Linked DNA regions of Drosophila melanogaster. The protein of the gene in region 1 interacts with the protein of each later gene in a pairwise test. Each region holds a gene or a part of one and is shown on either strand. Other genes may lie near its edges. The genes, in order: CG16904, nub, BNIP3 and CG11327.

Region 1 (6,580 bases):
TGCACTAGATGCCGCGACCCGTATTTAGTTCTAAATTTGTTATGGCTGTTGCCACTTTTGTTGCACTGGATGTGCGTGATGTGGCGGTATTTGTTTATGTACCATTTTCGCATCCGCTTTGCATGGAAGTTGCTGCAGTTGCAGTTTGGCCACGCCCACTGCGTAACCCGATGCGATACGAAAATGGCCGCCCATCTTTTTGTACCGCTTTCGTTTCGCATGTGCGTGATTTTCGAACATTTCCCGGGAGCCCATTAAACTTTTAATGGAATTTTCATAATCATGTTTAAAGTTGCGAAGGTACGTGGAAAGTTTTGCATTATTGGTATTGATTTAAAGCCAAGGGGAATCAATTTTCATGGTTACTTTCACTGTCTGCCTCCTCAGGCTCTTCAAATTAAATACAAATCATGCATTTGTCGCATGCTTCGAGTATTGGTAAACCCTACTTGCCGTACTCACGCCTAAATTACCATACCAATTAAGCGTGTTTATCGAAGCTTATAAACCACAATAAAATTAGTCGCATTTCCATCGATCCACGGTAAGCACACACAATCGCAATGTTGGGTGATCTAGTGGACTTTTTGGGCAAATCCCCACCCGATCCTGTGCGCCTGCCACTCCTGGCCAGCCACAAGCCCGTCCTGATGGTATTGGCCACCTACCTGTTCTTCGTAAAGATAGCGGGTCCAAAGATCATGCGGAATCGAAAGCCCTTTGACCTTCGCGGTCTGATAAAGGCGTACAACATCATGCAGATCGTGTACAATGTCATCATGTGCTTTTTTGTGAGTTTCCCCCCAAAAATATCAACCATCACGGATTGTTTAATATAGAAATTCCACTTTACAGGCTGTCCACTTCATGCTGGGACCCGGAGACTATAACTTTAAGTGCATCAAGAACCTGCCGCCGGATCATGAGTACAAGACCTGGGAGCGCTGGCTTACGTACTCGTACTTCTTCAATAAGCTGCTCGATCTGCTGGAGACGGTCTTCTTTGTGCTGCGAAAGAAGGATCGCCAGATATCCTTTCTGCACGTCTTCCATCACATGTACATGCTGTACTTCAGCTTTATGTATCTGTACTACTACGGATACGGTGGTCATGGGTTCTTTATGTGCTTCTTCAACGTCGTCGTGCACATCATGATGTACAGCTACTACTATCAGTCGTCGCTCAATCGCGATTCGAAGGGCGATCTGTGGTGGAAGAAGTACATCACTATCGTTCAGCTCATCCAGTTTGGAATCGTTCTGGGGCATAGTATCTACACCCTAAAGCAACCGGACTGTCCATCAGCCCGGTTCTCGGCGACCTGTGCCGGCAGCATCTCCGTTGTGTTCATCATCTTATTTAGCAACTTCTATTTTCATGCCTATATTCGACCCAAGAAAAGGAAACAGAAAAACATCTAAGCTAGAGCCAGTCATCAGATTTGTTCTGTGCAGCATTTAGATCTCTATAGAGAAACCTATTTTAATTTTAGAGCTAATAAAAAACATAAAGATGTATTTGAATTGTATATCTGTTTACTAGTAATGACTGATATTCGGATGAATATTATGATGGAAAAGGTGGAATAACACAAGACTTTGCCCGAAATTGTATGCTATTACTACGAAAATATCAATATCAAACAAAGTGTAAGTAAACTTCATTAGAAGTGACACGGTTAGAATTATATAAAATCGATTGATCTTAGAATACGTTAAAGTTATTACGTCAAAAGGCATTAAAAACTGGACTGCATTTAAAACTGGACTACATTAAAAACTAAATACGAATGCCATTATTTTACCTTTCGTAACCAGGGGACAGTGGATGTTCAACATATCCGGCATTCCAAGCGATGGAAACCTATTTTCCTTACTTTGTGACCGCAATACCCTCTTATATGGTCGGCGTAATAGGTTTTACTTACGTATGTAGGTATTTGTATAATAGAAACACACACTTAAATCAGCCTCGAAAACGAGCAGATTACCATTTCTCGGTTCTCGGCCGGAGTCCACATCAGTCGCTATTCCACCGACGTCGATAACACTTAGATATCCGACATGTTTGCCCATATGCTGGACTTCCTGAATCGATCGCCACCGGATCCTGTGCGTCTTCCGTTGACCAGCAGCCACTGGCCGGTGTTGACCATCCTTGGAATCTATCTAGTCTTCATAAAAATAGTGGGTCCTTGGTTTATGCAGAATCAAAAGCCCTACAATCTGGATAGAGCTATCAAGATCTACAACATCGTGCAAATCGCATACAATGTCATTTTGTTAATATTTGTAAGTAATGCTCTTTTTTTTAACAAAAATATATTAATATTCATTATATGTATCTCCAAATTTAAAGAGTGTGCACTTCATGCTTGGTCCTGGCAACTATAACTTCAGTTGCATATCCAATCTGCCGTTGGATCATGAGTACAAGAACTGGGAGCGTTGGCTCAGTTACTCCTACTTCTTCAACAAGCTCATGGATCTGCTGGAGACTGTGTTCTTTATATTCAGAAAGAAGTATCGCCAGATATCGTTCCTGCACGTTTTCCACCACGTATACATGGTGTACATAGGCTTCTTGTACATGTATTATTATGGATACGGCGGCCATGGATTCTTCTTGATCACCTTCAACGTGGTGGTGCACACCATGATGTACACCTACTACTACCAGTCGTCCCTCAATCGGAACTCGGGTGGCGATCTCTGGTGGAAGAAATACATCACAGTCGTTCAGCTTGTCCAATTTGTTATTATATTCTCGCACAGCGTCTATATCCTCCGGCAAACTGATTGTCAAACATCACGATTATCGGCAACTTGGGGCTCACTGATATCTGTAGTATTTATAATTCTATTTAGTAACTTCTACGTTCGCACCTACATTCTTCCCAAGAAAACGAAATCGGCGGTGGGCCGATGAGCAAAACTAATTAAGATTTAATATCACTGTTCCTTACATTAATCAATGTCATTAATAAATGCTTTTGATACAACAAATTCATTTGTTTTATATCATTGTATATATCGTATATTATACATAGATATATATTTTACATAAAGCAATGGGAGATATTTGTTGGTTTCTAGAACTCTCTATCCACTCGACTGCTTAATGCTATTAAATATGCAAAATACCCCTTTAATTGGGTCTCGCCAGTATTTTATAAATGTAGAACACTTTTTTTGTTGTATTGACAATAATGTCAAAAGGAGTAATTTTGTAAATAATGGCACTGCTGATTAATAAAATGTTGAAAATAAAAACGTAGTTGAACTGTTACTTATATTGTATTTAGTTCGATTTGCAAAGCTTTAAGTATTCAAGTTGAAGGTTGATAGTGGGTTAAACATACCGGAAATTTGCACTAATGTAATTAGCAAATAGGTAATAGTATAGTGGCTATCGTGAAAGAAAGAAATCACAGAAGGTAAAAGTCAAGTCACTCGTTAAGTCGTGCGCGAAAATGTTCGAGGTGTTCGATAAGCCCTTCGCCGATCCTGTCCAGCTGCCGCTGGCGGGCAGTATCCGCACCTCGGTGATCATCATCACGGTGTATCTATTGTTTGTGCTCAAGCTGGGCAGGAAGCTGATGGACAAGCATGAGGCACTCCAGCTGCGAGGTGTGCTCAAGTTCTACAACATCGGACAAGTCCTGTTCAATTCGGTGATTTTTGTGTGGGTACGTAAGTCGAAGGATATCGATATACACAGTTTTTTAATCGTTTTCAATGGATTGCTCCATATTACCCAGGGCATCCATCTGTTATTCGTGCAGAAGCCGTACAACCTGAGCTGCATGCAAGTCCTGCCGCAGGATCATGAGCTAAAGTCCACGGAAAGGACACTGTCGTACATGTACCATCTGAACAAGGTGCTCGACCTGATGGACACCATATTCTTTGTGCTGCGCAAGAAGCAGCGCCAGATCACGTTCCTCCATGTGTTCCATCACGTCTTCATGGTCTTCACCTCGCACATGCTGATCCGATTCTACGGTTTTGGTGGCCATGTCTTCCTGATCTGCATGTTCAATGTTCTGGTGCACATCGTCATGTACGGCTACTACTACGCCTCGTCGCAGAGCCAGAATGTGCAGGAGAGCCTCTGGTGGAAGAAGTACCTTACCCTGGGCCAGCTGGTGCAGTTCCTCCTGATGTTCCTGCACTGCATGTACACCTATTTCCAGCCAAACTGCTCGGCGTCGCGGGGTGTCATCTATGTCATAAGTTCGGCCAGCGCCTTCATGTTTCTGATGTTCACCAAGTTCTACATAAAGACCTACATTCGGCCGAAAGAGGTCAAGTCCAAGGGCAAGGTCAACTGAATGCACCTGCTACACTGTGATCAAAAACTGGTAATTCGTATGTACATAACTATTGGGGTGCATAGGAATGAAGAGTGTCTTTCCAACTTTCATACAATTTTTGTTATAAAATTCCCACCTTTGATCCTGTTTTTTTTTTGTATTATTTAATAAGAATGTATTTGTAATCAACAAATATTTTATTATTACTTTTACAATACATTGGCTTCTTAAATTAAATTTGAATTATAAAGTGATACATCATTGGTTTCTCTGAGTGTACTCGACAATTTGCATATGCGCCGTTTGAATAATAGATGAATTCAAATGCATCGACAGTTAATTCAAATGCAGTCGAAAAGGTCAAGGAGTTAGACTCCGTCCGGAATAAATCCCATCGGCCACATCTCGACTACTCGTGGTTTCCATCGTCGAATCGAGGGGATTCCCCTTGGCACGTGATCTGCATGCTCCGCAGAACTTGGACCGAGCACGTCTCTGGACATTCCATGCTGCATTTAATTAGAATATTAGGAACGAGCCTGGCCCAGCACCGGCGATTTATGGCACCGGAAGGGTCACCCGTGGCCGGCCGAATTTGCATAGGAATCGCATGCGGCGAATCAGAGTCAAAGTGCCAGCTGAATAATTGCGGCCATGCGGCAACATTAAAGCGAAGCCGCAGTCAAGTGCAGTGGTTCCTGGTTGGGCACTAGCTTTTCGGGTCCTTCGTCCTTAGTCCTTCGTCCTTCGTCCTTCCTTGGCCCCTGGAATGGGGCCTCCAACTGGCCGAGCCACCGAGCGTGCTGAGTAATTGCCGTTTTAAATGACATTAAACGTGCATTGTGCATGCACTTCCCTTAGCAGTCGCATGCCTGCGTTTCCCCTTTATGCATTCGATTTTTAGCTATTTTTATAACTACCCTTTGCATGACACTGGTGAGACTGCCTTCAAAAATAGTTTGACGCCAAGAAAACAAATGTTTTTTAATTCATTTACCCCATAAAATCATATATGAAATATTCAAAAATAGGCTGTGGCTATTGTTGCTTCACGAATCTTTAGGCTTTGTACTCATGATTTAGTTTAAATTTAGTTAATTTTTGTTTTGTTTCGCTGACTTCTTTCCTGGCTTTATGTAGTTGTGGTAATAAAATTGGCTAAATATCACTGCAAAAAACGCTGAAAGCGATCCGCATCCGTAGGTCAAGGGTCTGTTGACCGCGCAGTTGGGCTGTGCCAGCGTGATGGTACAGTGGAGCAGAATAATGGCGAACTGGACCAGCTGAGCAATTGTGATGTATTTCTTCCACCAGAGACTTCTCTGCACCTCCTTGCTGATCGAGGATAGATAGTAGTAGGCGTACATAATCACGTGGACGGCGGTGTTTAGCAGGCACTGTGGAAAGGCAACGCCACCGTATCCGTGGAAGCAGTAGTAGAGATATCCAAAAAATGCCATCGCAAAATGATGGAAGACGTGCAGGAAGGATATCTGTCTGTCCTTTTTGCGGAGCACAAAGAAAATGGTTTCCACAAGGTCTACGAATTTGTTCACCAGGTACAAAGTGCAAATCAAACGCTCTCTATCCTTATATTTGTGATCCATCGGCAGGCTAACAATGCAACTGATTTGGTAGGCTTTCAGGACAAACAGGAAGTGAACTCCCTGTAAAAGTAGCATCCTCCCATCAGAACCTGCAGATGTCCAGAAGCCCCAGTTCAAATACTTACTAAAACGAGTATTAGACCATTGTAAAGGATCTGGAATATGTTGTAGATCCTGATGACGCCATTCAAATGGAAGGGCTTTCGGTGCTCCATGATTTTGGGGCCCAGCTTGAGCACAAACAGCAGATAGCCAATCAATGTGCCCATGGTTATCCATGGATTGCTTACAACGGGTATCTTTACAGGATCTATCGGAGCGAACATGGCGAATCTAATCGAGTTGTGCGATTGATAGTGACTAATCCAAACTCGAAATTAGGCTCTCGACCTTAAGTGGCACAAATTGTTACAATGTTTCTTTAAATGGAGCATTTACATTCGTATGCCGTAGTGTGCATTTTAAATGGGAATTCGGGAAGCGTTCTATCCACGCTTTGATTTTCAAGTACCACAACTCGTGGATATGCTAAGTGACTTCAAGATATTAAAAGACTAGCGAGTAACTTGGCCAGGGCTAGTGCTGAGATAGCTGTGAATACGGTGCCCAGTAGAGTCTTGGTGCTGAGTGCTCCAATGCAAGTTTATTAGTTAGTCG
Region 2 (8,057 bases), on another chromosome or scaffold:
AATAATATTCAAATATGACTTTTAGTAAATCAAAACCGAAAGGAAATATGTAAAAATATCTAATAAATAAATAAATATATATAAGTAAATATAAATAAAATACTCAACCTAATATGAAAGTCATAGAAATTTTTGACTGTGCATTAGTTGATATTTACAAGCTCCCCATCGATTTGGGCGCATTAAATTCCCCAACTACAACATAGATACCCGTACAGACTCCGATCTTGGCAACGTAATTACAAGTCATCTACCTGATGTTTTTGACCATTTAAGCCACAAAAGAAGAAGCAGACTAAGTTGAATAGACGGAACAGTAGCCATGTTGGCGGCGGGGGCAATCGCATAGAAATAAAATAATAATCAGACAATAAACACCGACAGATACAAATTTTCATTCATACATAGGGCCTAAACACGAATAATTGCTAATGCCATTTAAATGTGCGTACAGAAAGCAACACTTTGTTAAACCAAGTCATGTTCTATTATTAAAGTCGAAAGAGTGCCCAATCCCGATCTAGATCCGAGTGCAGCGGAAATGTGGAAAGTGACGCGGCCGATTTCACTCCGTCCCATTGTTAAATATTTAACAACATTTAACCCTATAAGCGTATTACGAAACTTATTTGGTGTCAAATGGGAACAAACTGTTTTTTCCAGACGTTTTACAGTTTAAGCGGGGGAAACCTCAGTACATTAGATACTTGTGAGATATAAACATCATTATATATTATAAGGTAAAATTAAAACGAATTGATTAGAAATTCAACATGCTAGTGTACTGTACTTCCTTCAATCAAAACGTTTGAGGTAAACGAGTAAGCAACTTTAAACTTAAATATTTATATTTAACCTAATAATTTATAGATAAGTTAGAACGCGTAACTGCTTAAAATATCAGATGTAGTCAGAGCTCACTTTAATTTCAATCATGTCATAGCCGTGGATACTTTGAATCGTAAATTCATAGCAAATACTTCGGTGACACACGATCCATAGTTGTATGTAGATAATGATAAGCTGCGTGGAACAGGTCTACATATGGGTATGAATATGACCTTTACCCAAGTGTGACAATGCCTTGGCACTCATTATGGGTGGGTCTGCACCACCTCTTCTAAAATACATTTCGCGCGAATATTTATTTTTGCTTGCCTAGCTAATCAATTTCAGCAGAAGGCTTAGCAAAGTCAGAAATATGTGGATAAAATCGTACAAAAATTGACAATTAATAGAAGCGTATTTTTAACTCGTGGTCTTAAAATGCTAATAGAAGTTTAGTGGCAAGTCCATGTGTATTAGCGGAATTTACAAAATTAATTACATTTAATGCGTAGGCAAATAGAAGAGGTCCCTCATCGATTTCTGTCACCCTTCACATATCGAAGGGGGTCTGAATATTTCCCATTTATGAATAATGGGGCGCCATTCGTTATGTGCCAAAGAGAGATTTCCTGCGGCTCAAGTTGGCTTAGCTCTGCTCCACGAAAAAAAAAAAAAATGAAAATAGGCACCGAATATTCAACACTAAATTAAACAATTTGTGACTTACAAACTAAGACAAATTAACCCCATTGCAGCTCAATATTAATTAGCCACACTTTACTGATTGCCTTGTCGCCGGAGCCCCAAATTCCTAATTCTAAACAAATTATTTGTCTTTCTATCTAGACATCATCATTTCCCCCATTTGGCACCTGTTTTTTGACTCATTTCCATTTCGCGGTATCGCCGGGTTCTATCTTGATAACCGTCTGTGTTTGTTAACTAGCCAAGTCTTACTGTAATTGACTAATGAATGGCATTCATTGTTCCTGCTTTTTTAACTTGTGACAAATTTATTTATTATTACTACGGTTTTGTTCTTGTGTCACGTTGAATTCTTATTGCCTTCGATTATTGGCAGACGGGTCCTCAAGAACAGACGTCGATCGACGTGGTATCACGTGGTAATAACTGATCGACTTGTGCCAGAAGTCTCAAGTGAGGAATTGAAAAAGGTCAATAAGGGGGAAGCACAATATTTTAGCCAAGTCAAGATCTATAAAACGGGAGGTGCTTCTTGGAATTGCGATATTTGGCTTATACTGCACTTCGCTACTCGACTTATAGATAAGAATATATGGTGATGCAATCATAAAATATAAAATATAAGTTAGCTGTTTTAGTTTCTACATATGTGCAATAAATTTCGTATTTATAATGATAATAATAATGGAATAAATGTCATGACTTTTTTAGAGTTAATAAACATATACTTAAGAAGACACTTGCTAATGTGCCAAATATCAGGTACGCAGCCCTTAACTTAACGCCACTTGAGGCAAGTTGTATCGCACCGGACCTTACCTAACGCAAACCATCGAAACAAAAAAGTGAAAAACCGGTGCAAACCGATTTCCAAGATTGCGAAATGTGAAACGTGTTAAGCGAAACAAGCCCCCCAATGAACTTTGCGCGGACTAAACATCAGCCCATATTTCAAGATTCTATTGTTTACCCCCGGTGAAAGAATTACGAGTTCCAAGAATTGAATTTAATAAACTTTAATCACGAGCCTTCAACTTATTTGTTAATTTTGCAAATTATATTTTATTGTATCGCGCCAATCGAATTTCCGCACGAAGAAGATAGTAGTGGGGGAAAGGACCCTTTTAACGAATTTGGCTTATCAACCGCAAAGAAATCAATAATTCTTATCAACCATCCGCTGATTCTTTTGGTCGCCAAGTCTCAAGTGATTCATATTTAAATGATATACGGAAATGATTAGCTTGATAAGAATCTAATTCACTGATATATGACCTCATTTTACAAATTATTTAAAGCGGGTGACTATAAATCTATTTTCGGAATGGGAGTAATATGCTCCTAACGTAATGAAAAACTCAAATCCTAATCACCTTTAAAAGTAAGTAACTTTAAAGAGTAAAAAAAAAGACATTTTCAGAGCACCTGTCACCTTTGAGGATCCTGCTATCAAATCGATACCCATTCAATTGATTAGTTTTTTTGGGGCTTGGCCGAAATTTCATTGTTGAACATGAACAATTTCATTGTTGATATGCAAAGTGCTGGGGTATGAAGTGTGTGGCATGGCACTGGTTCTTGGCTCTTGACTCTATCTCAACTCTCCTCACCTCACCACCCAACCAACCTGCGAACGGAGTTGTCTTATCAGGCCAGAGCAAACAAATTGAACTCATTTCTCTTTTTAAACAACAGCTTCGACGCAATTGTCGACACGGGTCTACGCATAGATATAGATACTCCAATAAGAACCAACTCGTCTTGGTCTTCTTGGCCCGGTCGGGCTTAATCAGTTCAGTTCGGCTGGAGGAGCACCGAATATGGTAAATGGGAAAACGCAGTCGAGATAATGCTACGCCAAGAACGAGAAGGAGAAGAAAGAAGCAGGTTAAGTTTTTCCATTCCATTTTTATCTAATTAGGCTAAGCAGGCAACGCGACAAACGCTGGACAAATATTTATTATTGTACTGTAAAAATAATCAATCACTCGATCGTTACAGCAAATGGTAATGGTATCTGTACGGCTGTATCTATATACGCCACCCAGATAACGGCATTTGAATAAGAAAAAAATAAAGAACGAGTGTCCAACCAAAAGGAAATGCAGTTCCAACTTGTCCAGAGGCACTTGAACTCAAAACTGCGGCACACCACAAGTGTTATGCTAATAAAACATATCGTGCCGATCGCCTTATCAATAAGGCAACATAATATACGCTTGTGTATTGATATAGATATACACATTAAACAAATCGAACGGTGGGTTGGTACGATATTTAAAGTGTAAATCGATCGATTTTTCTCGCACTTTGTTTGCCGTATTTATTTATTTCAATTTCAATATTATTTCTCGCCTCACCGTTCACCCCCGGCGACATTGCGAAAGATACTGGAGTTACAGGTATCCCACTTCAACTTTTGTAGAGTAAACTTTGATGCAGGTTCTGTTTACCTCCGGTCTGAAACTCAAGGCGCCTTACTTAAAAATGGTTTATACAATATCCCCCCTCTTATATGGTATACATTTCCTTTACTTTCAGTAATTTTCAGTAAATTAAGTGGTGAAAAGCCCGTTTTATAGATTGTCAAACACTATTTACTGCTGCGGGGTGGGGTAAAACCCTTTAAAAACGCTAGGCAACATAAATTCAAAAATGTTTCATTTATTAAAGCTTGTTAGAGATTGCAGATTAGGATTGTGAAATTCTACACGGCTTTGATTAATTGAATGAATCATGATTAGGGTCCAGGTGGCCTGGGGAACTCTTATCAACAAAAATTTCGGATGTCACTTGTTGTAAAATTGTTCAATCTTTTAGTCAAAAAAGGTAAGTCATTTTCGTAATTAGAAAATCAGTGAAGTTATTTATTAAATGACCCATTATTATTTTCTTTTATAAATAAAACATTTATACAATTGTATTTCTTTCCTAAATTTGTTGGTTACCAAGGTATTTAAATATTTATATACCAAAAAGATGACTGTAAGCAATTCTAAAATTTTTCAAGAAGCTTCAGACCCTTGGTCTTGGTTTTCAATCATTAAAAAATTTATTTTTGTGGTAACTACAACTTTAAATTTATTTTCTGCACATGTATATTGTTATTTTATTTTCATGTATAACAACTTGTACACAAATAATCAACCTTTCTAGATATGTGTCAATAAAATTTCTATGAATTCTTTTATATTTTTCATAGCTTAATTTAATACTCATGGGATTTACCTCAATTGTTGAGTTTTTCAGACAAACATTTCAATCTTTAAATATCAAATTCATTTCGTTCAAGTGAATAAGTTATTAGTTATCACTGTACTTTATCTGCACAATATGGGGCACTCTTTAAAAACTATAAGCGTATAGTTTTTCAATAAATTATGATGTTACTATGAGCGAAATTTGCGTCTCATTCGCAGCACGTTTCGATTCGCACAAATGCCGTCGTCAAAACGCAAAAAACTGCGGCACAAAAAGAGATCGGAAAAATCGCGACGCGAGAGCGATGAGAATGGGGATTTTTATTAGAGGGGTTCATTCGGGATCGTATTGTATCGGTCGAGTAGCGCATGGGATATCGCGGAGGACAAAATGTGTTGCCAAAGTCCGGGGAGCGCGCGCACTTGAGCTACAACCACTGAACGCTGAACTCAACTGAGGCGAGCTCGCCAAAAGTATCTTAAAGATGCGCAACAGATCGGCAACTTTAACGGCAGCGGGCTGCAACAAGTTTTTTTTTGCCAAATCCATATAAACAAAAGGCAAATAAACAAACGGCAGTGCACTGAAACAATTGCAATGTGAAGTGTCTCTGTGTTCGGGTTTTGCTGTAAGTGTGCGTGACTTTAGTTGCTCGTATCTGCTGCAGGTACTTGCACACACAGATGCACACCTGCTTGCAACATTGCAATTGCAGGAGAGGGATAAAAGAGAGCGCTTAAGCTCTCTCAAAACCGCAATGAGTTATGTTTAAACATTAATTCATTTTAGTGTAAAAAAAAACAATTAAGTTTAGTTTGAGAGCTAAAATTCTCTTGTCTCTGAAAAACTCTCGCTCTTGCTCTCTCTGCGCGCTCTCCACTCACCACTACTACTGCAAAAAGCAGCGATCGCTCACTTAGGTTCCACAAAAAGCTGACCCGTTGGGGAAAAAGAGACAACTAATCGCGCTCGCTAATTTTCACACACACTCTTGCAATATTCAAATCTGGTTGCTCGCTGTCCCTCTCTCACTTGCATGCTCCCTCGCTTTATTTAAATTTATGATTATCGCCCCCTTGTGTGTGTGCCTACTTAATCCAATTGGAGGTGGAGCCGTGACTCTCCGTCCAATTGGGAGATACGTTCGCATAGACTCTCATTCCGCCTGCATATATCGCCTCGTTAACTGTCACATTGACGCAGGTGGGGGCTTTATCTTTATTTTGGGGCCCGGACTTATCCAATTGGATTTTTGTTTTGCAAACTGGTTTCGCCAACGCCTCTTATTGGCAGCGTTATTTTTAGGTTTGCTTCGGCTATTATCTAAGTACAAATTGATTAGAGGAATGCGAATTTGTAGTAAAAGCTTTTAATTGCGAGGGAATTTGAATTTATTGCGATTTATTTCCCTTTGGCTTAATTCAGTACAATACTTTTGTATTGAAATAAATAAATTTATATATGTATCTTGCCATTCATTCTTGGTTTCATCCAGATAAGAAATTATATGTAATTATATAACTAGATAATTATACATTTTCTTTGTTTTACTACGTGCTTACTTACATTTTGCTAACAATACCTTAAAAAAAAAACTACACAAAATTATTATTTTACACATGATAAAAAATAGTTCTGTTTATATGGAGTGTATTTAGTTTGTCATCATCTGGATAAACTCAACAATGTAAATTAATCGTCAAAAATTCGAAAGAAATATTTCCCAGCTAAACGGTTATCCATTGAATGGCGAAGAGCATTCAGGTTGGACCTGCCCCGCGGAGTTTCCATTGAAGGGCATTGTTTTGGAGGGCGCCGCTGCTTCACAAATCGCATACGCACGATCTGCTGACACAATTCCGCCAGCAATTAAGTTGATTCACCTCCGCGGGCTGGAGATTTTACCTGTTGCTCAATTTGCCGGCATTTAAAAAAGCTGTCAACAGCGATCGGGAATCGGGTATCGGCGCGATCGACGACCTGGGTGCATAATTCCGGCCAACTGGAGCTGATCTTGGCCAATTGTTTACCATATGCAGTCCGGCCAGGCATTCCAAACTGTCCGCTTGAGCTTATTAGCCTGTCGTTTGCATTTCTGCGGTATTTCCACTTTGTTCAAGGCGCCGGCCTCCCAAGTGAACGGGCCCCAATTTGAATGCAAATTCCACGCATTGCGCGCTTTTGGTCATTCAAATGTTGCCGCTTCAGTGTTGCCGCAAAGTTATAGATTTAATGCAGAGGCATCCGGGATACCCTATCCGTAAGGGAAGTAAAATTTTTTGAGTCACCTGAAAGTATTAAAAATATAATAAATACAAATATACGATAACTCGTAAAACTTTCTCATTTGCTTAAAGTATTTTTTATGTATTTATTTGTTTATTACCCATTTATTTCTTTTGAGTTTCTAAAAAATTCTTGTTAAAAAAAAAGTCTATCAAATCCCTGCCCCGTCTACTTTTTTACATTAGCCTGTATTCAGCGCTAAATTTCCGCATAACTTGCTATAAACTACTTGAAAATGTAATAAAATTTGAAAAATCCTAATTTATCTAATCATGAAATGCTTGCCTAATAAGCTTCTATTGCAATATGATGATATACCACCATTACAAAATGATGGGCTGTCCTTCGGCTGATGGGCTCATCATGGTTGGATTGGTTCCTGGAACTTAAGTCGATGTTTAAATTACCATTTAAATGTTACTCCAGCCGGAGGCATTTCATCACAATGTTACATTCACATTACTCAGTCAGCATAAAATTGCAAACACATATTATTGACACATCATTATCAATCAAAGTTATGCTCAGTTGAAAGTCCGCAATGCTTCCGCAAAAAGAACAGAACAGTGTTTCTACTGCTTGCGCAGATTACAGCTAAGTTTTATGACCATGATTTATGGCAGAATTCTTCCAAGGCGGCCGTTCTGGTTTGATGGTCCAGACCAGGCCCAGTGCACCATGAAGCATCCCAATCCGAATGCGAATGCGAATACGAATACGAATACGAATATGACTTCGAGAAAGACACACTACACACTCGCTGACACGCATAGTCTAGATGCGAGTTCGTATCTAGATATCTGGCAGATACACCGCCGAGCACGAGCACTCTAGCATGCTTTATGGTCTAATCCCGATGGTTAGTTTTGTTCAGCATAAACTGCTCGATTTCATGTATTCCATTTAAATGTCATAGAATGTAGCCGCAAATCAAATTCTTAGCCGCCTCATTCAGCAATTTTACATCCATATTTATTTGCAATAATTTGGCTGCTTTATGGCATTCTCTCTCATTTTTCGCTGTTCGCCAAATGCAT
Region 3 (10,402 bases), on another chromosome or scaffold:
GAATTATTGTACTTGTTAATAAGAGAATATAAAGGACATTCTATGTTCTAGTGCTAGGTTAATACAATACAAAAGATTTAATTGTCTTAGCTTAAGCTACAAACCAATCTGGCTTTTCTCGAGCTATGTACAGAAGCGCATCTGATTCTAGACCTCCAGAATTGCCGACATGGTCTTCTTGACCGCATCGCGGGCGTAGGGGATGTACGACAGCGAGTACCAGGTCATGGCCAGAGATTGTATGATAATGAATATAAGCGTGAGTCCCGCCTTTTTCCACTAAAGCCAATCAAATAAAAATAATAACATATTAAGTGCACACATCGATTGCATCGTACTGTTTTTTTGTTCAAGTAATAAGAATTAAACCAATATTCAGAATTTAATTGCTAGGGCATGTGAAACTGTGTTATTAATATTAAAAGTAAAATGCTAAAAGCTTTCATTTAACTTTACTGTGAGTTCATGAAGTATGTATAAGATTTGGATCGCTATTTCATTGGATAACTTTAAAGTCTAAACATTAAGGAAAAGTTTTCTACAAAACCTGCAAACAAATTCGTCATGCTATCGCTATAAAACTAACTTGATTATAAAAGTTAACGACCGAACCCTAAATAATTGTGATATCTTCGATTTGAGCATGGACGCCTTACCACAATAGCAGCGATGAACGTCAGGACCATCATGACGAGCACGATGATGGTGGCGATCAGCCGTGTTTCCGCAAACATTTTCTTGATCTGCTTGAAGGGACCCATGAGAAAGCAGGTACTGAAACCGGAGAAGAGAGACTCATTAGCCGGCTTGTGTGAAGTACGAGTGGAACGGAACCAGCAACTCGCTCACCTGGCCATCGAGATGACGTTTCCTAGAGTGTAGAAGACCGCAAAGACCACAATGCCCCTGTGCAGAAATAGGGCGACCGAGCCGAGTAGGGAAAGTAAGATGCCCAAGGCAAAGCAGATGACGAATCCCTTGATCCGAGTGGACCAGCTCAAAGTGGACATGTCGTTGATCTGCGTATGTAATTGATTGATATTAACTAAATACTTTGATAAGCGTTGGGTCACACGGCTTGGGGCGCCATGTGATCGCGGGGCGTTGCCAGCGGCTAGCTCCTAAGCCACGCCATAATCATAATTCCTCCAGCCAGAATATGTTAAGGGATCTAATGAGATCTGTACCATTAGAAAATTTCTTCACCTGCGTAATGATACTGCTCTCCTCCTCCGGAGTGGGCTCATCTCCACTCAGAACGCGGCGCAACTTGTCCATTATGCGGCGATTGAATAATGTTCAACAGGTGGCTGACTTGGAATTACCGGCACTCCTCTCGGGGGGTTTTGCACATACAAGGGTCTCTTCTGTTTTTATGCTCCGGAATTTTCACACCAAAATAAATCCAAGATCATACCTAGTGTGACCGTGGTGGTAACCGTTAACATATACCGTCCGATTAAAAATTATACCAACAATTTGCAATTTTATATATATCTTCATAAAAAAACTAAAGAAATCAGATATTAGTAGTGCATTTTTGTTCAAGAATATCCATTTAAAAACAAATATGTTTTTATATCAAAATCATATTCAAAATATAATTTTAGCTTTTTCTAGCTAGCATGCCATATTTAGAAACTTTGGCAGCCAACTGCTGGTCACATTCGCGACATCTGGCAACGCCTCCAGCATGTTTTGTTCAGCTCTACGTAACATTTTGAGGAATTCACAAAATGCGGCTAAAAACGCAACAATTACCTCACAAATACGAAATCTGCGAGGACAACAAAGTGTCCACCATGAGGTAGAAGTGTTAACATCACCGGGTATAACCACCAAACAGAATGACAAGAAGACCGAGCCTGCGGAATGTGAAGGCTCCAAAGAAGTGGCTCTGGACTTCCGAAATCGGGAGGCCCATGTGCCTTCCTTCAATTTGGCGGCCTATGTGAACAACTCGAGTACCCTGCAGCAATTTCTCAGCTTGGGAGTGGATCTGCACAGTATTGAACGGCGAAAGGGATTGGGAGACTTTGTACTGAAGCTGGATTTCGAGAAAAATGTGAAGCCCTACATAACGTTCCTGGTGGATCAGGGCGTATCACCCGATGACTTCGGCAGGATGTTCACCAAGAACCCGCTGCTGTTCAAGGAGGACTTGGACGATCTGCAGACCAGAGTGAACTATCTAAAAAGCAAGAGATTCTCGGACGAAGCCAGGCAAAGAATTCTCACCCAGAATCCTTATTGGCTGATGTTCTCCACCAGGCGAGTGGATCGTCGATTGGGTTACTTCCAAAAGGAGTTCAAATTGAGTGGTCATGATCTGCGACTGTTGGCCACCAGAGAACCCAATGCCATTACCTACAATATGGAACACCTCCGCAAGTCTGTGTTCACCCTTAAGGAGGAAATGGGATTCAATGCCAAGGAGCTAAGTGACCTGGTGGTACGAAAGCCGCGCCTCTTGATGATTCGTAAGTCTATCTACATTCAAAATTAAGGACATTTGTAATTAAACAACTTATCCTTGCAGCTCCGGATGATCTTGTCGAGCGATTTAGTTACATTCACCAGGATATGGGCCTTCCACATGCCCAGATTGTCCAGTGCCCGGAGCTTTTGGCCTCACGCGAATTTAGACTGCGGGAACGTCATGAGTTCCTGAAATTGCTTGGAAGAGCGCAATATGATCCGCAAAAAGACCTGTATATATCGCCAAAAACTATAGTGGAAGGCAATAACTTTTATTTCGTCCGAAATGTGGCTAAAAGTGATTTGGAAACATTTGATTTGTTTTTGAAAACGAGATAAGAATAAAATAAAAGTAAATGTATATATACTTTTCATATTCATATATGCATATGCATATATTTTCAAAAGTCAACAGAAACCAAGTTTTATCATTTTAAAAATAACCACCAATAAATTTACTTGATACAAGGGATGCCAGATGTAGGAAAACATAGACACGCACCTGGATTGCTACCGTTTCTCCATCTGGTCACACTGGACAGCAACAAAAGATTTAAACTACGCATTAAGCTTGTGCGTAGAAACGAATCGTGTTTAATTTTAGTTACAAGACAGTCGCTTCGGGAGAAGCATTAAACAAAGTTGCAATATTTCGGAGCTCCAGCGGTTGGCTTCAGTCCGAAACCAGTAGTTATAGTCAAATCGAGTGCAGCGGCGGAGAAACAGCGCCAAACGAAAAGTAAAACGCATTTTCCTACGCATACATAAACAGCAAAAGCGAATACACAAACACAGGCAGACATACGGAAGGGCCAAAAAAAACTTGGTCAAACTCACGAAAGAATAATAGAAATAGTTTAACTTTAAAGCGAGTTAATAATAAGCAATAAACCCAAGTTATCTTTGGTGTTGACGTGTTGAACACACATACCGATAAACAAAAACAAAATGTCTACGACACCAAAATCGAGCGAAGATTTGCTGGGCGGTAAGTTGTTTGTTTTCGTCTGCTTTGCTCTTTCATTCGTGTTTTTTTGCGTCTCCCCTTTTTACAATCATAACAATAACATGGTAACCCGTTATGCCGCATTGTTGTTGTTGCGAGAGTATCTAGACATGTGTATGTATTTATGGAGTTGTTTGCAATTTGTTAGTATCCGCATCCCATATTTTTTCAAGGCTTTGCGTTGTCTGCTTTTTGATTTCTTTCTGCTTTTATTTGTTTACTTTGCACTTGTTCTTGCTCCGCAGAGGGGGCGAGAAAGAAAGAGAGACAACAAAGAATCCGCAAAACTCCGTATGAAAACAAAGACAAAGAAGCTGCCAACGCACTCTTTCTCCCTCCGCTCTTTCATTCATGTCATGTCTTGTTCCTTTACTTTGCACTTAGCACGCTTGACGTCAGTTGTGGTTTACTTTTTGCGCTCCCCATTTCCCCGACCCGGTCTTCTTCTTCCGTCTGGCTTGCTAAAATAATTCGTAAATAAATACATTTTGTGGGAGGGCATTTCCCTATCGGTCGTTTCCAGAAATTGCGCCTTTGGCATATTCGCTTCAATTGTATTTCGGCTGCCCACTTTATCAACATCCACGTTTACACTCGCGGAAAAACTAGGTTATATAAATTTATACTCATCAACGTACTTGAATGTGTTTTTCAAAATCTCTTAATTTTATGAAAATCGTATGATGGACAATATTCAATAAATTTTCTTAGGAATTGCACGAAATGTTGAAATATTTTGTTGACATAAAGTATAATCTTTTTGGTTGACTGCTTGAAAGCACTTTGTTTGTTTGTCGAAAAGGTTGTTGACTACCACAGAAATTATACTACAATTCTGCAAAGTCACTCACAAAAGTAATGCCGGACGAAAAATTTGTTTTTCAATTTACTACCATCCAAGCAGTATTAATCTAATCAGTTTTAGCCCAAATCGAACCATATGTTATGAAATACATCACTTTTGAAAGGTTTGACACAGTTTGGATGTGGAATTCCGTTATCAATGATAGCATATAAATATTATTCATATGTATTTCTATACGTTTGAATGAATCTGATATTAATCTTTTAAAGCTAAGTATGTACATATGTATATGAAATAAGTGTGTAAGTAATGCGCCGGCTTGATCTGTTTCTTGACCTTAAAACACGTGCGAAATGAATGACCAACTTAGAGAAACATTTTTTCTTTGTGCACTGTGCCATATACTACGCAAGAAATCGTATCATGATACCGAGGAGTCATCCATCCAATAATAAAGGCGGTTCAATGGGCCCAACTCAGGGTCTTTTGGACAGCTGCGCATCAAGATGCACACCCGACAAAGCCCGAAGAGGGTAGGGTAGAAAGAGAGAGAGAGAGGGGGAGTGATTGTTAGAGAGAGACGGAGGGTGGTTGGCCGAAAGAGAGGGAGAGAGGCCTACGTGCCGTGAGTCACAAAGCCATTGTTTTTGTTTTTGCCACCCTTCTGTGCACTTTTGCTTTTGTTTTTGTTTCCATTTTCGTACCTGTAACCCGGATTCCCGATAATGCTCCAAATATTGTTTACCTGTGCAAAACTTCTGCGTCTACCTGACATACGGGCATTTCCATTTTCTATTTTCGCAACATTTCCATCATAAATGCATCATCCTTTTCGTCTAGACGATGCATTTAGTATTCAATTGTCAGCATGATTGGTGTGCCACGTGAGTGATCTGAATTATTCTGTAACTGATTCCATCGCGAAAGTGTCTAAATTAGATGATTGTACAGTGATAACTCGAGAGAAAGCAATACCAGGAAGATTTTAAATTTATAATGTGACATTACAAAATTATAGAAAAAATTAATTTTAATTAATTAGAAAGTGAATAATAGATGATATAAGAGGCGTTGGGTGTGATCGTATGTGTGATTATATATATGCGTATACATGTAATCAGTTGGTTGTATTATTAGGTAGTTTTTAGGAACGCTACACTGTACTCCTTATCAAGTAACTTGCACGCTTCTCGTGCCCATATTGCATCGCCAGTTTGTCTTTTTTCTCGATTTGTTTTGAAAATGAAATTTTCTCCGTAGAGCATTGATAAGCATCGGCTTGTATAGACTATAAACAAAACATGTGTGCTGCTTTATATACACAGTATGCCGAAAAGAAACGGAAATTATGCGAGTGGTGGGGTTTTTAGCGTTATCAATGGGGCACGAGCACTCGAACAGATATATACAAGCACATACATTGCAGATCCGGCTAACGAATCGAACGTATGTATGGTTAAAATGTTTTTACGTGTAAACAAAAACGAAGACAAACGCTGAAAGGGTGACGATGGCACATTTTTAGAGCCGCTGCCGCCGCACAGTGGCTCTCAAACTGCACGCCTTTCTGAGTAAACAAGTGAAACTACTTTATTTTGTCAGCAAGTGTAATTTTAGACAAGGGATTACTTTAAACTGACGTTTATCAGCTTAGAAATAAATAAACTGTTTCATAAATAAACAGTTAAATAGGGTTAAACCATTCAAAACTTAAACATCGTAAAATATTGATATGTTCTGTATGAAAATTTCTAAAATTAAATTAAAAATTGTTGTTAACGAACCTAGAACGTTTTCGTTTGTATAAATTCAATAAAGAACGTCATAACGCACGTCTGTGTTTGGACTTCTCATGTTTATTCAACACGCCCCAAAAGGTTTCGACCCTCGAGCCTGTGCTATATTTAACCACCTCCAAATGCAACCAACTAAATATTTAATTTCACCCCATTTGGCTTTAGCTTTCACCCACTTTGTTCGCCAGTCTATCATGCTAATGATCTACTTTCCAGAATCTTGGATCGAACTCAGCACAACAGCTGCGATGGCTGGCATCAAGAGCCCCGACAGAATCACTCCGTTGCCATTCAACAATGGCGAGGAGTACCTGAGACTTCTGCGCGAGGCCCAGCGCGAGTCGAACCAGTCGAGCCGTGTCGTCTCCTTGGCCAGCTCCCGTCGTGATACGCCCCGTGATAGCCCCAAGAGTCCACCGAACAGTCCCCAGTCGGAGCTCTGTCCGGATGATGAGCTCAGAAACGTGTACATCAACTACTGGACCAAGGTAAGAGATGAGAATCGAGGCGGAACCGAGGTGATCTTGCTAACAATGCCAGTCTCTGTTTTTGCTTTTGCCAGGGAGGAGACAAACAGAATGCAGGCAATGAAGATTGGCTGAAGAACTGGAATCAGCCACCCAGGTATGAAAGTTTATTTAGCTAAGTTTCTAGAATCTAGAACTAAGTTTGGAGCATTGCGGCCTTTTACCACAAATGGTCATTCATTGAATTATTATTTACAGTAGCTGGAACATTGAGGATTCAAGTCGGGATGCCGGCGACGAGGGCGAGAAAAAGAAGACTAACACAGGCTACTCCATCCGTTTGAAGCGACTGGGCTCCAACTCGTTGTTCTCCCGCGAAATTCTGTACTCGCTGCTGGTGACCAACGTCCTGTCCCTGCTGCTGGGAGCTGGATTCGGGTAAGGGTCTCTAGCAATCTTCACCAGATTCACATTTCATGTAATGGTATTTATTTATAGGCTATGGTTGAGCAAGCGTGGCATACTCCTTACCCGTGTGGTCATTGACTGAAAGATGCCATAAACAAAAAGGAGAAAGAGGAAATATATATAATCGTTTTCAATCTATCAATATGCACATCAATCGAAAACAGAACACGATGCGTTCCATATAAGAAAACGAAGTATACACATCTATACAGCCAACCGTATTCCAACTCATTTGTATTTTTATCGGAAGTCTATATTTTCGACACCTTCTCATTCAGTACATACCTATAAAAATGTAATTTCTAATTACTAAGCCAGCAAACTAAAACAGGCCTTTGGGCAATGGTTGAAACTAAGCGTTTTCATATTTTATATAATTTTATATATTTAACATTATATCAAGGCAGCAAATCTAATGATACAGAAAAGCATTTATAGATGCTCCATATATTTTGCTTTAGCCGTATGTCTTAGCACCCAACCGTGCATTATATCCAATACAAATGTACGCCGAACTTCGTGTTAAGAATTTCAATTTCATCATCATACATCATATAGAACAACCATAAACATTTGTAGACATATTATAGTTGAATCGTATTGTATCCTGATTGTACTTTTTGTTGAACAATCGTCAAATGTTTCGATACAATAAGCATATAAGAAAAACGATACAAAAGGAGAAAAAAAAACAATATGGCACACATAAGATTATATCTTTAATGTGAGGGAAGGGTTATCCCCCACACAAAAAAAACAGAATAGTTGTAATGATTTTTTATATTAAAATATTTTTCAATATCTATTTAAAAGAGCATCTGCAAACATTTTTCTTTGGTGGGTTTTACGGAATTGCAAGAGATGGCTTAGAAAGTTTTGAGAATTTTATAATCTTGGAAAGACGGATTAGTGAGATGAAAGGGATTTTCAGGGAAGTGCTGCAAGGTATTTTGAGATGCCTTTTGTCTAAAAGGCATTCCCGGTGCTTGTTGTTGAATAAGTCGCCTGTTGTTTTGAAAATCGCTAGACGTGTACCTGTTCGCATTATCAAACTGTTTCACATAAGTGAGGGCTTGGATTACCTTTGTGTATATAAAGGGAAAAACCCGCTATTTGCATTTCGCCATTAATATTTTTTTGAGATTATCAGCAGTGAGTCAGTATAAGCGATAATTTCATCATAATGTGCTAATAGTCAACTAATTTTGTTAGTTGATCATTTAGACTTGTTATCAATTGCCAAGCGAATGCAATATCGATACGAACTAAACTGCCGCCCTTTAAAGTGCATAAACTAACTGTTTTTGAGTTGCTTTAGCAATTGTAATTTTATTTAAAGTTTTATTAGGTAATAGTGTCTAAATACTTAGGTGATTAACACAGTTCCGAAACTAATACATATTCCGTGTGGTTGCTGGGAAAAATCCTCGTGACTTAAAACAATATTCAATCGACGATTTGTAACTCAATGAAACGATCGCTGGGTGATCGTTGCTAGCTTTGATTTTATGCTATATAGACAGCCATAAGACGGTGAATCGAGGCAAAACTGGGATGCCAATTTAAGTACAGCATAATATCAGATCAGATTAAGATCCGCGCATTATATATATATATATTGCCTAAATCTAGATGGTTAACTATAGCTACCATTTGAGCCAATATCAGAGACGACATCGAGATGTGGAGAGAGGAAAAAACATTCTTAACTGACTTTTGGCCCTGGGCTATTCCTGACCGTTCGAGTTTCTGAGATTTTGTGCGGCGGTGCTGGTGGAGGGCGTTGGCGAGCCAGGGGGCGTGGGAGTGCGTAGGGAGCGTTCAAAGTCCTCCGCTAAATCATCGTCATCTCCCTCCTGTTGCCAACTGTCCAATGCGGAGTCGACATCGAATTCCGGGAACTTCAGCGTTTCCCCCGTCACATCCACCAGCCGAGATCGCAATCTCTGCGAGATCTCCTCCAGCTCCGTGTATTTGCGCTTGATGGCCTGGCCCAACTGCAAGTGACCCAGTTCCATGGACTTCTCGAACTGATCGATTACGGTATCTACACTGGGCGATATGGGCTCCACGTGCGCCTCGATTCCCCCAGTCACACGTCCATTGAAGTCTACTATGTTATGCCATCCGCTGGGAAAGCCTCCGCCCGCTTGTTTTTGGTTAAGATTAAGTGCAGCGAATCCTATTATGGCATCTTCATGGGGAGACGGCTCTGTGATGCCATTTGGGCTAACAACCGCCTTTTTCCAAAGCTTCAGAATGAAAAGCTTCTGGGGCTGCAAAGGAAAAATGGAATGTATTTAGGTGATCTCTTAGAAAAGGTCCTTTTAAATCATACATTGCTGCGATAATCGCGACTCACGTCCACGCGGAACTTGCTAAGCCACTGGGGCTTCGTCGATTTGGGTACAATTGGTGTGGCGTACACCAATCCTTCGTGCGACTTATAGGTCTGACTATTGCAACTGATGGCCTGGAAGGTCACATAGGTGTTGGGAGGTTCGTTGGGCGGGAAGCGCTTGGCTGCCGACTGACGTTTTACTTGCTTCTTCGATTTCCCATAGCCGGGATTTAGGGGCAGTCCAGCAGCTCCCACGATGCGCAACTGGAAGCTAAAGGTACTGGGCGCTGGAGGAGCCGGTGGCGGCGGCATTACTGGACCTGCGATATTCGGCGTCGGAGCTGCGATGGCATTTTGAAGCATGTCGAGTAAGTCTGTGGTCCGGCTTGGAGCCGGTACTTGGTTGTTGTCATGGTCGAAGCCACGCAGCTGCTTCAGTTGAGCAATCTGCGACTCACTTCCAATGGCCAGAAGCACCTTGAGCTCGCCCAGAGGCGTCTTGTTCTCAGCACTGACAATTGGTGCCCAGCCATCGATGGAGATCACTGGTAGCTATGGGTCATAAAATAAATAAGTAATTTACGTATTTTCAAAAATATATCTATTTTAAGTAATTCTATTTAGGAGTAAATGGAATGTGTATCATATATATATATATTGTATATATTATGTGAACTATAATCGCACCTTTCCCTTGCACAGGTGATTTGTGATGCTGGAGTCTCTGTAGGCGATGAAGAACTGGTGCAGCGGAAGTCGTACGACTCCTCCCAATGGACGCAGCTCCATGACCAGCTGCTGCCGCTCGACGCTCTGCAGGAAGCGCTCATCATTGATGATGGCGAATTGCTCCTGCAGCTCGAAGGATCCCCCATCGGTTAACTTGCTCAGCAGTGGCTGCGGCTGCCAGAAGGGCTCAAGTGATAGCTCCTGGCACGCGGTCTTACTACCGCCCGCCGTTAATTGACGCAGCTCCCCGGCGTAGAGATAACCCCTGAGGAGACGGACTTTATTGGTCTCTGCCATGAAGTTGATGCACTC
Region 4 (7,302 bases), on another chromosome or scaffold:
GCGGAAAATCGTGAGATAATATCATTGAAAAGCTCTTGTAGAATAGATAACTAAATATGTATATGTACGTCCCAATCAAATGCCCAGAAAGTGGAGTCTATAAACGTGTAACAAAATTTGCTTGCCCCGCCTGAAATCTCCCAATTATTGTAATAAACTATGAATATTATTATAACAAAATGTACGCTGTAATTTTTGGTATTTAATAAATAAACTCCATCATTGGCCACACAAATTTTTATTTATTTACCCATCGAAATCATCCAAACCAAACCCACATGCCTTTCTATCGCATCATGTTTATACACTATCATTTTCTGGTCATACATTCAGATATATCAACGGTGAGTGGAAGTTGAACTCGAAATATCTTATAGATAATTATAAAGAATCAGCTGAATAGATATAACTTATTTCAAAGAAAAGCTATATCATTTTACCCAGTGTCCATGAATCGGCAAAGAATCGGAAAACAATATAGAAGTAGAAAGCGAAGTAGCACAAAAGCTTATATACATATAGTGTTTTTGTCAAACTTACATCGAAATTGTCATTTTTCAAACCGTTTTTTAAACAGAAAAAGTTTTCTTTGAAGAAAATGGCTCATAAAGATACTCATACATATGTGAGTGAACATGTTGGCAGCTTCGTGAATAACTCACCTGTTTCCATTCGTTTTATTGCATTGCAATCATCTTAATTCGTTTTTGCAATTACTTTTTAACTTAACGAAGGCGCCCAGTGCCTCCAGGTTGGCTATCCGCCCTACTTTCACTGCATCTCGTGTCCAATGGGCCACGAGGTGAACGGAACCAGCTGCCGGGATATGAATGAGTGCCTGCTCTACGATCCTTGCGACGAGCTGGCGACGTGCACCAATCTTAGTCCTGGCTTCCAGTGCAGCCCGTGTCCCGTTGGCTTCGATGGCACCCACGCCCATGGCTACTTCGCCGACTACTACTCCGTGGATTATCGCAGGCAAACGTGCCTGGACGTCGATGAGTGCCGCACTGGGTTCTTCCGATGCCCGGAGCATTCTACTTGCATCAACGAGATTGTGAGTACGATACAAATTTAAAAAAAAATAGTTTAAAAGTAATAGATTTCTTTCGCAGGGTTCCTACAGATGCCAATGCCACGAAGGATATGTAACAAATGGCACCTACAGCTGCCTAGACAGATCCTCGGTGTTCATGTGTCCGGATGGAACCGTTTGTGACCGCAATGCCGTGTGCCTTAGGATGGATAACATCCGCCACAAGTGTCACTGCAATGTGGGATGGGCGGGCAACGGTTTGATTTGCGGTAGGGATACCGACGTAGATGGATGGCCAGATCAGGCAATCGGTTGTCCAGAGCTGCGCTGTCAGCGAGACAACTGCCCGAAGTTGCCTAATTCAGGCCAGGAGGACGCCGATCTGGATGGACATGGCGATGGGTGCGACGACGATGCCGATGGCGACAATGTCCAGAACAGCCAAGACAACTGCTGGCTGGCCTACAACACCGAGCAGCTGGACTCGGATGGAGACAAGGTGGGCGATGTGTGCGACAACTGCGTGCTTAAGTACAATCCCAGGCAGTTGGACACGGACGAGGATGGACTGGGAGACGAGTGCGATGGTGATATCGACAACGACTCCATACCAAATGCGCTAGACAACTGTCCGCTGCTGCCGAATCCCAGTCAGTCGGACGTGGACAACGATGGTGTGGGCGACGCTTGCGATAACTGTCCGAATCTTCCGAATCCCGACCAAAAGGATCGCGACATGGACTTTGTAGGCGATGCCTGTCACAGAGACATCGACGGGGATGATGATGGAGTTCCAAACTCGCTGGACAACTGCCCAATGGTCAGTAACTCGGACCAGCTGGACACTGACGGTGATGGAACGGGCGATGAGTGCGATGACGACATGGACGGAGATGGGATACCCAACTACAAGGACAACTGTCCGCTGGCCAAGAACCCAAAGCAGGACGACTTCAATCGGAATGGCAAGGGTGACTCTTGCGAAGATGATGAGGACGTAGATGGTGTACCGAATGGCATGGACAACTGCCCGAACAACTCGATGATTCATCACACTGACTTTCGCACTCTTCAAACCATTCCACTGGATCCCAAAGGCCTATCGCAAGCGGATCCCAACTGGGTGGTACACGCCAATGGCACCGAGATAGTCCAGACCCTCAATTCGGATCCGGGACTAGCGGTGGGCAAGGACGCCTTCGGAGGCGTTGACTTCGACGGCACCTTTTATATCAACGATGACACGGACGATGACTACGCTGGCTTTGTGTTCAGCTACCAGAGCAGCTACAAGTACTACGTGGTGCAGTGGAAGAAGGGCACCCAAACCTACTGGGAGCCACGACCCTTCACCGCCTCTGCGGCGCCGGGCATCCAGATCAAGCTGGTCAACAGCACCGAGGGTCCGGGCCCAATGATGAGGAACAGCCTGTGGCACGAGGGAAACACCGACGGTGAGGCCAGGCTGCTGTGGAAGGATCCGAAGAACATTGCGTGGAAGGAAAGGACCTCCTACCGCTGGTCCCTGGTGCATCGACCGGCCATCGGCCTCATCCGCCTGCAGTGAGTGATGGCACCATGACAGGGTTCCCATGTCTTCATTCTCCTTCTACCCACAGAATGCACGAGGGTAACCGCCTGATCTTCGACTCGGGCAATGTGTTTGACTCCACGCTGAAGGGCGGTCGGCTGGGCGTGTTCTGCTTCTCACAGAGGATGATTATATGGTCCAACCTGCAGTACAAGTGCAATAGTAAGGGAAATCGAAACAAAGTGGTAACTTCAACTGAACTAAACTTTTTTCTATGCTTTTCAAAACAGATCGTGTGAAGCCGCTGATCTACAATGATCTGTCCGACTATCTCAAGACGAAGGTGGAGTTGCAGGACTGAGGGGAATCGCAATCCTCAGAGCCATTAACGTCTTTTCTGCCATCAATTCTAACCAAATTATGTATTAATGCTACCACTAAGTTAATAAATGAGTTGCCAATCCAGTTGGCCATTGGAGCCGCGTTTTCCAACACAAAAATGAACTGAATCAAGTTGGCCTGGCTGCACGTGAAATCAGGAGACATTGCCTGTCAATCCATTTAGTTCAATTGCCACAGTTAGGCGAACACACTTTCGCTAGGGAACGTTTTGATCACCGAAATAAGGGAAAACCCATGTTGAAAACATTGATATAATATTTCACGGATGTCGAACTAGTTAACCAGGTTAAATTCAGTCAGTCTTGCGTAAATTTATAAAGGGTAAGTTGGAGCACAGTGCTCTACCAAATTGTGCTGACCTCATTCATTTATGCGTCCAAATAGCCACGATGGCCAGCCGCAATGTGCAAGCAACTCCATCCCAGGAAGAGCTGAAGCGGACTGAGAACAACAAGAATGTGAAAAACTCCGAAGAATGTCAATCAATGGAAAACGATGTGGACGCGGTTGTCCCATCTTCGTCGGAGAGTGAGCTGCGGCCTCGCAGTTCGGGAGTTAGGCCCACTAAAATTCCGGCTCCACTTTTCTTGGGACCCAGTGCCAGCAGCCGGATCTACAGTTCACTGATGCCCGAGAGAAAGCGACGCTCCTCCATGGAAAGTCAACAGATGGCCGACGATTCTGGCATCAATTTGGATTGCTCCACGGACGAGCAGCAGACTACGCTGTCGGCCAGACCGAGTCCAATGCTGCAGCCGATGCTCGACAGGATTCCGGACACTAGCAGCGAGTTGGAGCTCCGACTGGCAGAGGAGCAGACTCTCAAGGAACTTCAACGCGTCGTCGCCGAAATGGAGGCTGATGTGGCTTTTAATAATTTAGATATGCAAAATCTACTGCCCGATGATATTGACCAGGATACACAGGTGCAATATGACGCCACTGATGTGGATACACAGTTGCAAAATGAAGCCTCTGATGTGGAGAATGGTGCCGAGTCTTCCGGACTAGATATGGAACAGCTGACAGGAAACGATATTCAGCAGGAAACACTTCCTGAAACACAACCCGAAGAACTTATACCAGGAAATGTACAGATGGTGGAAAAAGAAATTGCACCGAAAGGGGAATTTCCAGAAATAAAGGAAACTGCCGTGGAAATAGAATCTTTAAAGGAATTCGAAATTGTCCAGCATTTGGGCGAAGAGCCAATAGATGAACACACAGAGATCGTCCAAGAGACCCCGCAAGATCCTACAGACGTAGAATCCGAGAAATCTGTACCCGAATCGGATATGGAGGAACTCGAAACGTTAATTAATGAAAGTAGCGAGTCCGAAGAGGACAGGCTTGTTCGTGAACAATTCGAGAAATACCCTGAAACATTGGAGCCCATGTTTCATCCAACGGCGGATGAGATTGTGTGCATTGACTCGGTCCCGGAACTGGCCGACCATCCCTCACTAGATGGGTCGGTGCAAAACGGTCGCGAGATGGTTACTTTGGATGAACTATTTGATCCGGAGTACAATGTGCACCTAATGCGCCAACTTTTGCAGGCCAGAATAGAAGAGAATAGCGAAGTTGAAACAGCTCCAGACTTGATAGAAAGTGAGCAAGCGGAAGAAAGGGAGACGCTGACGGGCCCGGAGGCGGAAATCGATATGGAGGAGGAAACGGATCCGGACCTAAAACAAACTGGCAAGCCCTTGAGTTTCTTGAGGCGTCTAGTCAACCACAGAATCCTTAAGCTTAGCTATCCCATATTGTTCTGCAGCTTGGCTTTCAGTTTGGTCTATATAATTCGCAAGGAGTAGAAGTTCACTATTCTAGAAATGCAAATTGGATAATGCGAACTTGCGAGAGCATACGTTTCACTACGGTATATCTTAGGAAACACTTCAAAATCGCCCGACGCATTGGCATAGTTGGGTTGCTTTAAATATCTATTTTCCAAATAAATATCCACAATATCACGGCCGCACTGTTTGTAATTTGTATAATTTGTATGTATATTTGAATTAAAGCGCCAATTACTTAACATTCTTTTTGAAACGAGCGCTAGGTGGCGCCTTTGTCAGGTCATACTCTTGTTGGCTAGGGCAGGGTAACGGTTATCGATAACCGGAAACTGCACCTGCCCGTTTACTGTTTTCCCGGAATAATTACCGATGGAGGAACGGCGGAATTCTAAACATGGGGAATTTTTTATTTATTTTTTTTTTTTTGAATGTATAGAGGAATCGTGAAAAATAGCAATGATACGAACTTACAGATCTAACTATGTCGGTGGGACACGGAGAGACTGGTCGGCGGGACTAGTACTAGACGACGGGAAAGAAAATTAATAAATGAAAAGGCTAATTTGACGCAATTCCCGGAATAATAGTTTTTACTTGGAAAATAGTTTGGGATTATTGCAAGTTTTAGTTTTACATAACTATTATATTGAATACAAATATCTTTACTGAACCGCTCCTGTTCAAAGGCAATATTTTTTCGCGTGCTAGCGTGCGGTCACACTGCAGTCGCATACGGTTGTTTCCATATGAACGAACAAACTGTTTTTTTAGCGGAGTGCGCTGCTGTGAAATTTTGAAAGCTCTTTTTGGACCCTTTAATTTTATGTAACGGCTGTGCGGCACATTCAATATCCAAGCGAAAGGAGGTCCACACACTCCCCTGGCGCCGCCTGAGCGTGGTCGTCCTGCTCCGCGCTTCTAGCACCATCACCTCCACCACCACCCCCCCAACCCGTGAAACATAACGCGAAAATCGATTTCGGCTGCAGGCGCAGGAAGAAACTGAAGAAAGTATGTCCCACGGCGATGTGGACCCCGAGGTAGAGATGACATCGCCCCACCGTATTCATGGGGACGCAGGAAGTCACCCAAGGTCGCAGACATTCTGGAAGCTACAGTGCTGGCGGAGCAGCATGCTGCTCATAGTCGGATTTGCATTGTGCGTCCTCGCGCCTGGATGCAGCGCCACGGACACTGACATCGCTCTGGACGCCAAGGCCACGCTCAATCACCGCATCCAGAGCCTGGACCTTCTAGTCTTCGTGTTCCTGCTGGCGCTCACAGTGCTCACAATTTGGCTTTTCAAACACCATCGCGTCTCCTGGCTCCACGAGACGGGATTGGCCGTCATCTACGGTACGTTGGTAACGCGGGCAGCTTTCCCTTTTGGCCATGTTTCCCTTAGCTCGAAAGACTTGATTATCGGTCACCTGCCACATTCATTGCTACCTCTTTGTTGTCACCAATTTCGAATTACGCCTTTGTCCACGCCAACCGTGACATTACGTGCGCACATATGGGAGGCAGTAAAAGCCACCCCGGGGTAGAAGTAACATCAATATCCGTGAAAGAACCTGCACGCAACGACAGCAGAGCTAATGCATTGCGGCAAAGATATTGTATACGAGACCTTGACTTGCTTAGTCAGTCAATATCATTGGGGTTTTCCGACCGAATGTATTTTCACTGCTCGTTCATGATCGCGGCAATCTGCCGAGTACTTTGTTATTCTAACAATTTCGTTTATGTGCAGCAATAAAAGAGCAAACAAGATTTCGTTCGACTAATTGAAGCTAATGAAACAATTCAATAAAACTGGTTGGCCTGGGCGTCGACAAAGCCCAGCTCTGGTGTAAACTGGAAAAGATTATTTAGCATTCGTCCGGCAGGGCCAGTGAAAGCATTTTGTTATGCGCACCACGATTAATCATCCCCACAAATTTGTTTATCGGCGTGAACATAAAACACTGATTCCGTCTGCGAATTATGAACCTGTTGAGTGGTTGCTTAGTTGATAAGGCTTGATATGGCTTGACTAAGCATTTTTCTAAGCGGCTATTAGTCACACCCTTGCTTTGCGATAGGTCAGTCCAGAAAACAGTCATACTAGCTTTATTTCATTTAAGACCCGGTAAAATTACATTACAATTCAACTTATTTTCGATCCCAACTGCAGCAATAGCCAAAACTAATGTGTTTACCCCATTTCAGGCTTGATTGTGGGTGCAATTATACGATATGCCGGCACCTCCGCCACCCTGGTCCACATGCAGGTGGAGCCTCAGGGAGTTCCAACGTACAGCGATAAATTGCCGCCTGATACTCTTTGGTTTAGGGTAAATCATTAATGGCCAGAACGAATATATGTAAATATATTACAATTTGGTTTTAATTTTAGTACCCCGTTAATCAAACAAATGGCACAAAGCCGCCAGAGGGAATCAAGACGTATGCCTACGTGTTTCGAGGACAGGTACACGATGTGGATGAGAACGAAATCGATCTTAAGGCAACGTTCGATCCGGAGGTAT

What was found.
Region 2: the proteins of CG16904 (region 1) and nub interact in a two-hybrid assay, tested with the Drosophila melanogaster proteins (one large-scale study listed by BioGRID).
Region 3: the proteins of CG16904 (region 1) and BNIP3 interact in a two-hybrid assay, tested with the Drosophila melanogaster proteins (one large-scale study listed by BioGRID).
Region 4: the proteins of CG16904 (region 1) and CG11327 interact in a two-hybrid assay, tested with the Drosophila melanogaster proteins (one large-scale study listed by BioGRID).

What each region holds. Positions count from the first base shown.
Region 1 is NT_033777.3:9,813,851-9,820,430, reverse strand, and holds CG16904 (uncharacterized protein), read left to right. Parts: upstream 1-3,451; 5' UTR 3,452-3,473; coding exon 3,474-3,689; intron 3,690-3,761; coding exon 3,762-4,334; 3' UTR 4,335-4,503; downstream 4,504-6,580. Other genes in the region: CG9458 (uncharacterized protein), read left to right, coding at 564-791, 856-1,422; CG9459 (uncharacterized protein), read left to right, coding at 2,065-2,292, 2,360-2,929; eloF (elongase F), read right to left, coding at 5,411-5,983, 6,049-6,249.
Region 2 is NT_033779.5:12,584,757-12,592,813, reverse strand, and holds the start of nub (nubbin), read right to left. Parts: upstream 5,190-8,057; 5' UTR 4,762-5,189; intron 1-4,761. UniProt on the Drosophila melanogaster protein: DNA-binding regulatory protein implicated in early development. Involved in neuronal cell fate decision. Repressed directly or indirectly by the BX-C homeotic proteins.
Region 3 is NT_037436.4:20,512,032-20,522,433, reverse strand, and holds BNIP3 (BNIP3), read left to right. Parts: upstream 1-3,040; 5' UTR 3,041-3,426; coding exon 3,427-3,466; intron 3,467-5,129; exon of another isoform or gene 5,130-5,157; coding exon of another isoform or gene 5,158-5,173; exon of another isoform or gene 5,174-5,735; intron 5,736-6,301; coding exon 6,302-6,573; intron 6,574-6,647; coding exon 6,648-6,709; intron 6,710-6,810; coding exon 6,811-6,990; intron 6,991-7,050; coding exon 7,051-7,102; 3' UTR 7,103-7,835; downstream 7,836-10,402. Other genes in the region: CG5104 (uncharacterized protein), read right to left, coding at 148-279, 657-774, 850-1,019, 1,207-1,278; mTerf3 (mitochondrial transcription termination factor 3), read left to right, coding at 1,694-2,480, 2,540-2,817; CG32425 (uncharacterized protein), read right to left, coding at 8,748-9,296, 9,359-9,913, 10,049-10,402.
Region 4 is NT_033779.5:6,682,551-6,689,852, reverse strand, and holds CG11327 (uncharacterized protein), read left to right. Parts: upstream 1-3,140; 5' UTR 3,141-3,290; intron 3,291-3,353; 5' UTR 3,354-3,358; coding exon 3,359-4,786; 3' UTR 4,787-5,011; downstream 5,012-7,302. Other genes in the region: Tsp (thrombospondin), read left to right, coding at 735-1,057, 1,116-2,599, 2,656-2,789, 2,858-2,928; Nhe3 (Na[+]/H[+] hydrogen exchanger 3), read left to right, coding at 5,905-6,127, 6,983-7,107, 7,170-7,302.